Linked DNA regions of Ovis aries. The protein of the gene in region 1 purifies or fractionates together with the protein of each later gene. This does not show direct contact. Links are inferred from orthologs where the notes say so. Each region holds a gene or a part of one and is shown on either strand. Other genes may lie near its edges.

Region 1 (3,649 bases):
TCATTTCGAGGCATGTTAAGGTGCCTGTGAACCAAGTGGAGCCATTGGCAACAGGATGTGCGTGTTTGGAATCAGGGAAAGGGACTGGGACTGGGCAGCATGTGTTTCCTTGGCTTGCTTCTTCTTCCTTTTCTTTTGCCGTGGCTAGCAGGATCTTAGTTCCCCAACCAGGAATTGAACCCAGGCCATAAAATAGCATGCAAAAACCTGAACCAAATTTGGCTAACCCAGTATTTGAACTAGAACTTTTTCTTTTAACTGAAACTTTTACAGATCAGTGCTTTATTTGATGCACTTTGGTAATTTTTATTTTCTGTTTCATTTTTAAAAAGTCAGTCACCTGCAGTGCGATACAACAACACGCAGTTTGAAAAGCATGGTACGGGTTGAAACTAGAAGGTTGGATGAATTAAATTACCTCTGACGGAGAAACCATCACACTTCTCCAGGATGAGGAAGCCAAAGCAGGCTGAGGGGACTGGCTGCTGAGCCTCCGCCTGGATGCTGTGTTCTTGGTGTCCTCCCAGGTGACCACCTTGGTGCTACAGGGCCGGCTGGACGAGGCCCGACAGATGCTCTCCAAGGAAGCCGACACCAACCCCACCTCTGCAGGCATGTGCCGAGTCCTGGGGGACCTGATGAGGACCATGCCCGTTCTCAGCGTATGTGGAGCCGCCTGGGTCGCAGAGAGAGGTTTATACAGGGAGCGTGAGGGGCTGCCGTGGTGACCGCCCCTGTCTGCGTCTCTCCCACAGCCTGGGAACACGCAGACCCTGACGGAGCTGGAGCTGAGGTGGCAGCACTGGCACGAGGAATGCGAGCGGCACCTCCAGGACGGCACGTTCGCCTCCAACCCCCACCTCGAGTCCCTCTGCAAGGTCTGCTGGGAGCGGGTCCTGGCCAGGGGCCAAGCCAGCTCCTCCTGGAGTCCTGGCATCCAGCTCAGCAGCAGCTCCTCCTCAGACGGGGCTCTGTGTGGGCCCTGTTGGGAAGGAGTGAGCTTTTAACTCAGCTGCTCCAGCTGAGATGAGCCTTACAGGGAAGTGTCCCCAGAGTTAAGGGACAGCGTCTCTTCTCAGGTCCTGCTGGGAGATGATGCCGCCCTGCTGGAGCAGAAGGAGCTTCTGAGTAACTGGTATCACTTCCTGGTGACCCGGCTGCTGTACTCTCAGCCTACGGTCAAGCCCATGGATCTGCACCTCTACGCTCAGGTGCGTCAGCTCCTCCAGGAGGGGAGGGGAGTCGGCGTCCGGGGCTCCACTCCCTGCCAGTCACTTTCACCGTGTGGCCTTGTTGACTTGACCCTCCCTGGGGAACAGAGGGGGCTTTCCTTGGGCCCAGTTTGAAGGACCCCATTGCCCTTCTCCCGGGTCCCCTACACAGCAGCCCTGCCTGCCCCCTTGAGTCTCTGCCACCATCCAGGGACTGAATGGGTCACCACCTTTCCACAGTCCAGCCTTGACCTGTTTCTGGGAGGTGAGAGCAGCCCAGAGCCCCTGGACAACATCTTGATGGCAGCGTTCGAGTTTGACATCCACCAAGTGATCAAGGAGTGCAGGTAGGACCCGCTGCACCACCACCATGCTGGGCGCCTCAGGGCTGCAGTGCAGCGGCTGGTGCATTCACCATGTCACACGCCCATCACCGCCGTCCTTTTCCAGAGCGTCCTGCTCCTTCCTGTTGGTGTCTTAGGCTTCTTCCCACAGACCCGCACCCCCCGCCACATTAGGTAGACAGTGTCTTCTCTGGACAAGCCTGGGGGCCTTCCTGAGGCTTGCAGGCTCCTGTATCTTTAACAGTTTACACTTTAGGGATGTTTACTTAAAGTAATATTGCAAGAAATTACTATGGTATTTAAAATCCAGAAATAGCCAGCCAGCTTGTTTCTTGGAACCTGATGGACATGCAGCTACCTTACAGGACAGCACTTCTCTGGTGAGCCAGGAGCTACCACGCCACCACACGGGGCTGGGTCTGTTCAGAGCAGAGACTCTACACCAGCCCTCTCCCCAGATCTCTCCCCAGACCTTCAGCAAGGCAGGAAAGGGAGCGTGAAACAATGAATCCAAAGCAAAGCTTTCCAGAATCCCCACATGTAGTCGGTCAGAGAGAACTTCCCCTCCCTCTTCGTGCAGAGGGAGAAGGCTGGGAACCACTGGGGCAGGTGGCCCTGCTCAGGCATTGAATTCACTGACCTCCACACTGGATCTTTTCTTTGTTAGTGAATCTGGGCAGTGGGAAGGTCTCCCCGATTCCACCCCCCACCCCCACCCCACCCATGCTACCTGCTCTTCTGTTTGGCTAAAAGAAAGCCAAGGCCCACCATTCAGAAAATGGTGTTAGACTTGGAGAAAGGAAGGTTTGTGTCCATATTCTTTTCACAAACCTCTAAAATAGGGACTGGTTGGAACTGGAAGATAACTTAACAGAATTCAGCTGATTTTGGCAAGGGGTTGTATCTGCAGTGAAGGATCAGTGGGGATGGCTCCCAGAGGCACAGACACTAGTCTTTAGCTTTGTCAGTATCTCTGTCTCTAATTCAAAGCAATAGGCATTCCAGAATGTGTTGTCTGTTACAGGCAGTGGGTTATTTCTTCGAGGGCTTCCTTCATAAGCCACATCTGGGATTTTAGGATCAAGACAGATTTGAGCTAAAGAGGAAGGAAGGACAATAAAAAAGGTAAAGCACCTTGCTGTTTTCAGTGGTTGTAGAAGGAAAAGGTAAAGAAGTGTAACAAAGAGGCGTGGTGCTAATGAACGCCGCTGAAAAATGCATCACCCCTGCCAGTCTTGAAGGAGGAATGATCAGACTTGCAGCCCCTCAGTCTGGGTGTCCGTCTACCCTGGCAGGCAGGAAAAAAATCGAGGTATTTCCACTAGCTCGGAATCTAGGAGCTCGGGTTTTCCTGATCAGTAAGCTTCTTCCTGCCGTACTCTGAAAAGCAGGTCCCAGACCTCTGCCCATTAATTGAAAGAAGGGCTGAAGTATCCTCAGAGAGAGAGTGCCCTCTTGGACGAGGAAGGGTGGGATCTGGGGTCTCCTGAGCACTAGCTTTCTCATGGGTTGTTGTGGTTAGGCCCCAGCTCGCTTCCCAGGGGACAGTAGCGCCTCTGTCTCGCTGGGGCGCTGGTGGTGTAGGGGAGCCTTGAGCTGCAGGTCTGGTGTCAGCTGTTCACTCCTCTTAGGGAGAATGAGGGAACCCTTCCTCAGCTAGAAGGAAGCTTTCTATAGGGGTACTTGATGCTGCCATGTCAACCATGCCAGGCTGTGGGGCAGACAGGGCTCCAGAGGCAGAGCAGAGAGACCCTGAAAGTGTAGTCACTCAGTCATCTCCAGCTCTTTGTGATCCTATTGACTGCATGTAGCCTCCAGGCTCCTCAGTCCATGGGATTTTCCAGGCAAGAATGCTGGAGTGGGTTGCCATTTCCTTCTCCAGGGGATCTTCCTGACGCAGGGATTGAACTCACGCCGCCCGCATGGTGGGCAGGCTCTTTTACCATCTGAGCCATGAGGGAATCCCAGGGAGGCCCTGGGAGATCACAGTTTACCAGCTTCTGCTGAAGGGCCACCACGTGTTTGCCTGGCATATCCACAGCTGGAGGAAAAATTGGATTTCTTCTCTTGTGGGTTGCAGCTGCCAATTCTTGC
Region 2 (4,153 bases), on another chromosome or scaffold:
AACTCTACACGCTAACTTATGACATTCAGTACAGTTAAGTACAGTTCACTCTTGAAAATCATGATTTTGAACTGTGTTGACTTATATACAGATTTTTTTTCAAAACATATCTACTAGAGGACTATATGATTTGCTGTTGATTGAATCCATGGATGAGGAATCAGGGAACTATAGCTACACCTGGATGTTGACTGCATCCATTGTCCCTTACCTCCACAATGTCCAAGAGTCAAGTGTATAATTGTTCTCATTTTTATAGCAGAGAGGTTAAGTACCTGCTCAAGGTCACCTAGCTATTAAGAGGTAAAGCCGGGCAGGAACAAAAACCCAGGCATTTTGGCTCGAGAGTTCACGGTCTTAATGACTATGCTGAATTGCCTGTTCAATTCATAGAGCTCATACTCTGTATACTCTAGATATATAAAAAGCATGAAAGTGACTAGGAAAGCTGATATCATCACAGCTATAAAATCTCCTGGAAGATCATTTTTAAGCTCTCAATACTACTAGCTTGTTTTTTTTTTTCCTATGTCAAAGTGGAATACAGAAAAGCTGGATTTAGTAATTAACCAGATCTAATTGGTATTTTTCCTGCACATAACAAGGTATAGTTAATCATAACCTTCAATTACTAGAATATTCCATTTCTAATCATAAAGCATAAAGCATACATAGGCCTTATATACGTATATATGTATATAGCCTTGCCCCTGAATAGTGGGGTTTAGGGGAATGACTCCACACAGTTGAAAATCCTGGTTTAACTTGCAGTAAGTCTCCCTGGTGGCTCAGATAGTAAAAAATCTGCCGACAATGCGAGAGATTCAGTTCGATCCCTGGGTCAGGAAGATCTTCTGGAGAAGGGAATGGCAACCTACTCCAGTACCCTTGCCTGGAGAATTCCATGGACAGAGGAAGAGCTTGGCAGGCTATAGTCCATGGTGTTGCAAAGAGTCTGACAGCCCTAAGAGACTAATACTCTCATTTTTCTCCCTGTGGGCAATTCCTCGGCATCTGCAGATTCAACTAACTGTAGATTCTACAGTATCCTAGTATTTACTACTGAAAAAAAAATCCATGTATAAGTGAACTACACAGTTCAAATCTGTGTTGTTTAAGGGTCAACTGTATTCTTCCTTTTCAATACTTATTCAATGTTTGCACAAATATTAGGCATATATTCCTAGGAATGTCTTTCTCAGTAGTTCTTCATCTCATGCTTTCAAAGTTTAGTGAAAATTACCAAAGTTTGTGTAAGTTTTCTTTTCAGTGAAACATCTTCACTGTCACTCAGTGCACTAACCTGAAATGTTCAGGTTCACACTAACCTGAAATGTACAGGTGCCAATGAACACAAAATTATTGCCACCATATGCAATTAGGTTTCCTGAATCCCCACTCTCAAAGGGATTGAATTCTACCACGTGCACATAATCTTCACAATCCACAGTGTAGGCAGCATTTCTTGTGGCATCTTGCTTCATCTTGTATGGCAAAACTTGTGCAGCTGCAAAAACAGCCTTCTATTGGACAAGGTCACAGAACTGTGGATTACAGCACAGAAACAGAAACCATCAAAGTGTTAGGATGTGATGACAGGCAGCTCAAAAAAAAATTATTCAACTACTTTGTGAACGGTACTTGCAGAGAAAGTCACTACAAAATTCTGTCTAGATTATTTTAAGGACAGGGAGTACTTATAGATGGAATTACACTACTAGGAAATATACTCATAAAAAATTAATGATCATTAACATTATGGAGCTGTACCTGCAAGCGCCACCATTAAGTATTTTACTAACATTACCATGCCTGATACTTGCACAAACCTAAGAGGGAGGTACTATGGTCCCCTTTTTACAGATGAAGAAATCGGGACTTCAGATTAACTTGCTTGCCAATCTCATAAGAGGAGCCAGAATGTGAGACTTTCTAAATGTTGGACACCAGTACAAGAAAGAGAAACACAAAAGCCTGTTTTGAAAAAGCTCACAATCCAGGGTTATTTATGATTCAGTGTGAACAATACTATAAAATAAGCAGATACAAAATATACAATCTGGAGGAAGGAATGCCAAAATGGGATACAAAATAGTATTCATAAAACCAGGAACAAAACTTCAGCTAACGTTTCATGGCCTGGTGTGCATTCTGAAAGTAGCATTCCCAGATGAGACATAGATTCTGAAGAGGTCACTTTTTTGTTTTTGTTTTTAATAGGACGGTAGGGGTTGTCCTGAAAACAGCTGGGTTTGATAGCAAACACATCAAATATCTTGTGAGTATCTACTAAGAAATCATATGAGTTCCACCTCGGGAAGTCTATAACCTAGTAACCTTAAGAGTGGGCATCTGGGACTAAACAGTTGTAAAAAGTGACCAACAGGTAAGGCAGCAGTGTGGAAGTGCAAAAGATTCCAGATTAGGAAACTCCGTTTCTAACTGTTCATTAAAGCAGTGTCCAGTCTAATTACAGTCTCAGGGTCTCACTGTACAAAGCGGGCTGGACTTGCCCCTCTAAAATTGCGAAAACAGCGGAGAGAGGGAACAAGAAAAGTCCCCGCATAGCCCTGACACCTCTTCCAGAGCCACGCAAATACCGCGATACCCCGCCACTACCTCCCGGAGCCCGAGGTCGAAAGGAAGAGGGGTGGGGAACGGCCCGAGGAGAGGAGGAACTCCCAGGGATAGATTGAAGGCGCGTGGCGACCGGCAGCCGAGCCATGCCCCTTGGGCTGACGCGCGATACGCACCGGAGGGCGCCTGGAAGCAGATAGAGCCGAGCTGCTGTTCACCTTGGGCTGCTGCGGCGCGCGCCGGCTCTGCTTCCGGGTCAGAGGGCGGGAGCTGCGATTGGCTGGCGGGCCCTCCCGCGAGATTTAAAATGTAAACCTGCGCTCTCTCGAACAGTCACCCTTGTGCAGCCGGCTGGAGTTTTCTTCAGGCGAGTCTGCACCTCCTGGGTTCTCCCCGAGCCAGGTGAGTGTCATCTTTTTCTCTCCCGTCTGCAGGCTTTAAGCTGCGACTTGTGAGGGTTTTTCGGTAACAGTAGAGCGCCATGTGATTGCCTAGAGTAATATTTGTGGAGTGTTTTTGTTTTGGTCTGGGGATATTGAACAGAGTTCTTATGTTCCATTGATGGAGCTGGAAGGTGCTGAGGGATCATCTGCTGACTGGAAGAATAAGGCACAGAGCCCTACTTAGATGAGTTAATTAGGCAGGAAACCAGGATTAGGTAGACTCCACTTTCGCCCTCACCGTTTTACTTCCGCCCAAGGACCTGCATACCATGAGCAGCAACGGTGCCCTTTTTTATTGAGCACCTCCATTTACTGTCTCACTAACGTGTCCTAATTTTATGAACTAGGAGATAATCATTTCCGTTTTACAGATGAAGAAATTTATGCTCATCCGAGGTTTTAAATACTGAAGGACATACAGCCAGTAAATGAGGACCCTAGTATGTCTCTTATCCATCTCATACTGGCTCCCCAGTGACATTTTCCTGCCTTACAATTTTTGCTGCAGTGCAGCTTGGAATCCAAATGCTAAAAACAAGTGTTTAATATCGCTGCTATCTTCTACTACTCTTTGTATGTTGCAGCCTGACGTTCAGAATACTTGTATAATCATTGTCTCCTTGATTTCTGGAAGTATTCTACCTCTTCCTAGGCAGTCAGGGCTTATTCCTTGGGCTCACGCAGCCAGCTAGCTACTGAAAGAGTCAAGGCTAGAGGCTTGGTGAACTCGTGGTACTGCCTGTTTTTGTGCAGCCAGTTCGTGAGCTAAGAATGGATTTTACATGTTTGGTTGGTTGAAAAAAAAAAAAAAGTCCAGCAGAATAATATTTTATAATATGTGAAAATTTTATGATCTTTAAATTTCTGTAAAATTTTGCTAAAGCCGAGCTGTGCTCATTTGTTTATGTATTGTCTGTGGCTAGTTTCACCCACCAAGATGAAGTTTGAATAGTTGTAAGAGACCTTATGTGCTGCATGCCTCAATGTTTACTGTTGGAACCTTCCCGAAAGTGTTCTAACTCCTGAATGAGATGGACTTTTATATGTGCCAGGCGTTGTTCTAAAAACTTATCTTGTACTTACATCATTTACTTTTCACAAAACCCTCTGAGATAGTACTATTATTATTTTTG
Region 3 (3,649 bases), on another chromosome or scaffold:
TCTGTTCATGAGTAATGCATTGCCCTGGTTTCTGTATGTCAGTGTCGTCAGACCGCCGCTTTGGGCTCCTTTTCTTGTGTTTGCTGAGTGTTATGATCTTGTTTCAGGCTGTTACTGTCATGGTTGCCACCAGAGAAGGATCCATCCGCTATTGGCCAAGCCTTGCGAGTGAAGATACCTACACAGAGACGTTCGTAGATCTGGGAGGTGATAAGACCTATAGTTTCCTAACAGCAGTACAGGTATACGATGGATATTCTTCTATATTTATTGGGAAACTGTCATTTGGCTTGGAATTCAGGTTTGGCTGACTAAAAATTTGTGATTTCGAGCAGATCATACAGGTAGGGCTGGGAGAAGATCAAAAAGGAGGCAAGGAAAGAATGTAAGAGTCTAGGATTTGAGCACTTAGGCCGAGGGAAGCCCTTCTCGTGGGACTCTGACCTGTCAGTGGAGCATAGTAGCCAGTGGTATTCGTTTCTGTCAGAAACATCTTTAGAGAGTGATTCAGAAACTCTTAGAGGAAGACTGGTTTGCTAATGCATATTCTGCTGGTTTACCAAAGAAATAAAATCTGATTCTTAATTTGTTGAACCTATGTAATGTGAACCTATAACTTAAAAATCAGAATTTAAAAAAAGTAATTAAAAAAATGGCTCTGAAGTTTTTCTGTGTAGTATTAAGTGAATGGATTCATAAATTATTTTTTAAAAATAGCACTGTTCTTTTTTTATTCTTTAGATTTATGTTGAGGTACAGATAATTTCCCTCGAAGCATATCAAAGTGATTTGTGTTCATTTTCTTTTCTTAGTCTTAAATACTTAACTAATTTCACATTTGTTCACAGGGAGGAAGTTTTATTTTATCCTCATCGGGGGGCCAACTAATCCGCCTGATACCTGAAAGTATAGGAAAAATCCATCAGCATGTCCTGCCTCAAGGACAAGGCGTGCTCTCAGGAATTGGTCGGAAGGTTTCTTCTCTTCTGGGAATCTTATCTCCTAGTAGTGATCTCATTGTAAGTTGGTGAAATGACTGTTTTACTAGCTTGTTTCTTAATGAAATCAGTAAGTTGGCAGTCTCCTATGAAGTTAGCGTTGCCACTGTATGTACAGTGGTGTATGTGAGATGAAAACTTTGATCTTTCAGTGAGGCATTTTTATTATGATGATTAGATGAGTTCATACTAACCCTCTTGCATCCTCTGTAACATTAATTATTCTTAAGTTTTATAGATTATCTGGTAAGCTCATTTTTTGAGTTAAAACTATGATGTAAAGTTATAAATGTGTTCAAGGATTAGTTTTGCTTTCTAGACGTAACCAAAAGTGTGCTTTCCACCCCCGAGCCTCCAGCTGTCTGTGTGGATGATGTCTGCTGGGCTGTGGCTCAGACTCTGGAGTAGTGAGTGAAGATGCTGGGAACTAACATCTTCAACTAACTGCACTAACAGAGCAGTGGGGCATCTGCTCTGCCAGGAGCCCTGTGTGTGTTATCTCCTGTAATAATTGTGATCCGTAATATATAGAGCTTCATGTCCCATTTGTGTTAAATAAATGGGGAAATGGCCTCAGTGAGGCTACCAAAATTGCCCAAAGTTCAAAACTGCTCAGCGACAGATGCATGCCCACATGTGTGTGAACTGAGAGCACCTTCCCCCGCCCCCGACTTTTCTGAAACATTTTATTTTATAGGCGTATAGCTGAGTAGCAATGCTGTGGCAGTTTCAGGTGGACAGTAAAGGGGCTCAGCCATACATACACGGGTAGCCATCCTCCCCCAGACTCCCCGTGCACCCAGGCTGCCATGTAACACTGAGCAGAGCTCCCTGTGCCATGCAGCAGGTCCCTTTGCATTAGCCCTGCTAAGTACTGCAGTACCACATCCTTTATGAAGTGGGGCTCTTCCCTCTGATTTCAGGTTGCTGTCATTATCTGCTTCCTTAAATGGTCTTTGAACGTAAGCTTTAACATGTCTAGAAGAAAATTGCTCGTGTTCTCTTCTCTCCTATTGACTTACAAAACTCATTTTTCTTTTGACCTATTTCTAATGGCACTGTCACCTTTTTCAGAGACCCAGGTATAAAATCCTGGTTGTGTGTGTATGTGTGTCTCCCTCTCTTTATGGGGCAGAATATTTACCAGCTTCTCTAGATTTGAGACATAGTGACAGGAAAAGTGGAGACAAATAGGGTTTTAGTTCAGCAGTCACATATACGCAATTTTTAAGTTGGGTTAGATGTGTTCTTCAGAAGCAAGGGAGATGAAGTGATATAAACGTGTGGAACTACACACACCCCTCCAGATTCCTTCTCCTGTAACAAATCTCTTGTGCTCACAAGCTATGGATATTATCTCCTTAGCTTACTTGGTTTACAAACTGACATTCAAGACTATGCTGTGTGTGAGCTTCAGTTTTGCTTCTTTCCTAGCTATAATCCACATTCTAGTTTAGCAGGACTGTGTTTTGTTCTTTAAAGAGCCTCTGACTTTCCTGCCTCCCTACTCTGCTCTTCCTGGGCCTTCTGCCTGTGAAAATCCTCCTTACTCTCAAGGTCTATTTCAGGATCACTTCTTCCCCTGAATCCTAAATGAAGAATTCTGCTAGGATTACTAATCAAATAGCTATAAAATATATGAATTTTTAATTTCAGGAAAATCATCACTGACACTAGAATTTAATAATCTATAAACTTTTTTTCTCCTCTCCATACAGCTTTCAAGCGTCCTCTGGGATAGAGAGCGAGCGAGCTTTTATAGCCTGACAAGTTCAAACATCAGTAAATGGGAATTAGATGATTCTTCAGAAAAACAAGCACATAGTTGGGATATAAATAGAGTCCTGAAGGAAAACATTATTGATGCTATCTGGGTAAGGAACAGTAACATTCATCTCTGTCATTTTTATTTATATAAAATTGCTAGTTCTTTTAGTAGAACGCATTTCAGTCATCAGATAAGCAGAGTATTCAATCTTTAGAAGTATTGGGACTCACTGGTTTACTTAATTTTTTAAATGCATACATTATTCATTCAATAAGTTTGACTTACTGTGGATGAGGCAGTTTAGTAGGTGCTGGGGATATAAAGGTGAAAAGAAATGATTTCTATACTGAAGGAGCTTACATTGTTGATATTTTCATGTAGGGATCTGAAAGTAACTATGAAGCTATTAAAGAAGGGGTCAACATTCGGTATTTGGATTTGAAGCAAAACTGGTAAGCAACTCATTTGTCATGCAGAGCATAGGTAGTTGTTTGGAAAAACAGATTGGTGTTTGTTATAGAATAATAAGCACCCTTGCTGTCTGTTCTGATGTGTCTAACCCTAATCTTATATTATTCCGCCTTATTGAATCGCTTTGTTCTGTCTGGCAGTGCTAATTCGTTTCAGAAGTGTTGGCAGTTTTCGGCCTTCCACTGAGTGTCCCATTAGCTGTCTGCCCTTGTTAGGGATCATCTGTTCTGCTCGAATAGCTGGAGCTCCTGAGAGCTGCCTGCCCTGCTGCTGGTTGTGTTCCATGCTGTCGTCTCTGCTGACTCAGTGGAGGTTCTGGGGGCTCTTCTCCAGTCCTTTTTTTGTTGCTGAAGGAGCTTTGGCCTGAGTTTGTGGCTGTGTTGAATAAAGGAAGGATGGGTGAGGTTTTGTC

Evidence for each region.
Region 2: the proteins of NUP85 (region 1) and NUP37 purify together in Homo sapiens (affinity purification with western blotting; 4 studies listed by BioGRID and IntAct, with this or other methods). This does not show direct contact. The link is inferred for Ovis aries from reciprocal best matches to the Homo sapiens genes NUP85 and NUP37.
Region 3: the proteins of NUP85 (region 1) and NUP133 purify together in Homo sapiens (affinity purification with mass spectrometry; 5 studies listed by BioGRID and IntAct, with this or other methods). This does not show direct contact. The link is inferred for Ovis aries from reciprocal best matches to the Homo sapiens genes NUP85 and NUP133.

The regions. Positions count from the first base shown.
Region 1 is NC_056064.1:55,591,347-55,594,995, reverse strand, and holds part of NUP85 (nuclear pore complex protein Nup85), read left to right. Parts: intron 1-527; coding exon 528-662; intron 663-755; coding exon 756-878; intron 879-1,079; coding exon 1,080-1,211; intron 1,212-1,451; coding exon 1,452-1,558; intron 1,559-3,649. UniProt on the Homo sapiens protein: Essential component of the nuclear pore complex (NPC) that seems to be required for NPC assembly and maintenance. As part of the NPC Nup107-160 subcomplex plays a role in RNA export and in tethering NUP96/Nup98 and NUP153 to the nucleus.
Region 2 is NC_056056.1:171,523,435-171,527,587, forward strand, and holds the start of NUP37 (nucleoporin Nup37), read right to left. Parts: upstream 2,825-4,153; 5' UTR 2,754-2,824; intron 1,545-2,753; 5' UTR 1,485-1,544; coding exon 1,329-1,484; intron 1-1,328. UniProt on the Homo sapiens protein: Component of the Nup107-160 subcomplex of the nuclear pore complex (NPC). The Nup107-160 subcomplex is required for the assembly of a functional NPC.
Region 3 is NC_056078.1:1,013,848-1,017,496, reverse strand, and holds part of NUP133 (nuclear pore complex protein Nup133), read left to right. Parts: intron 1-107; coding exon 108-242; intron 243-848; coding exon 849-1,019; intron 1,020-2,716; coding exon 2,717-2,872; intron 2,873-3,147; coding exon 3,148-3,218; intron 3,219-3,649. UniProt on the Homo sapiens protein: Involved in poly(A)+ RNA transport. Involved in nephrogenesis.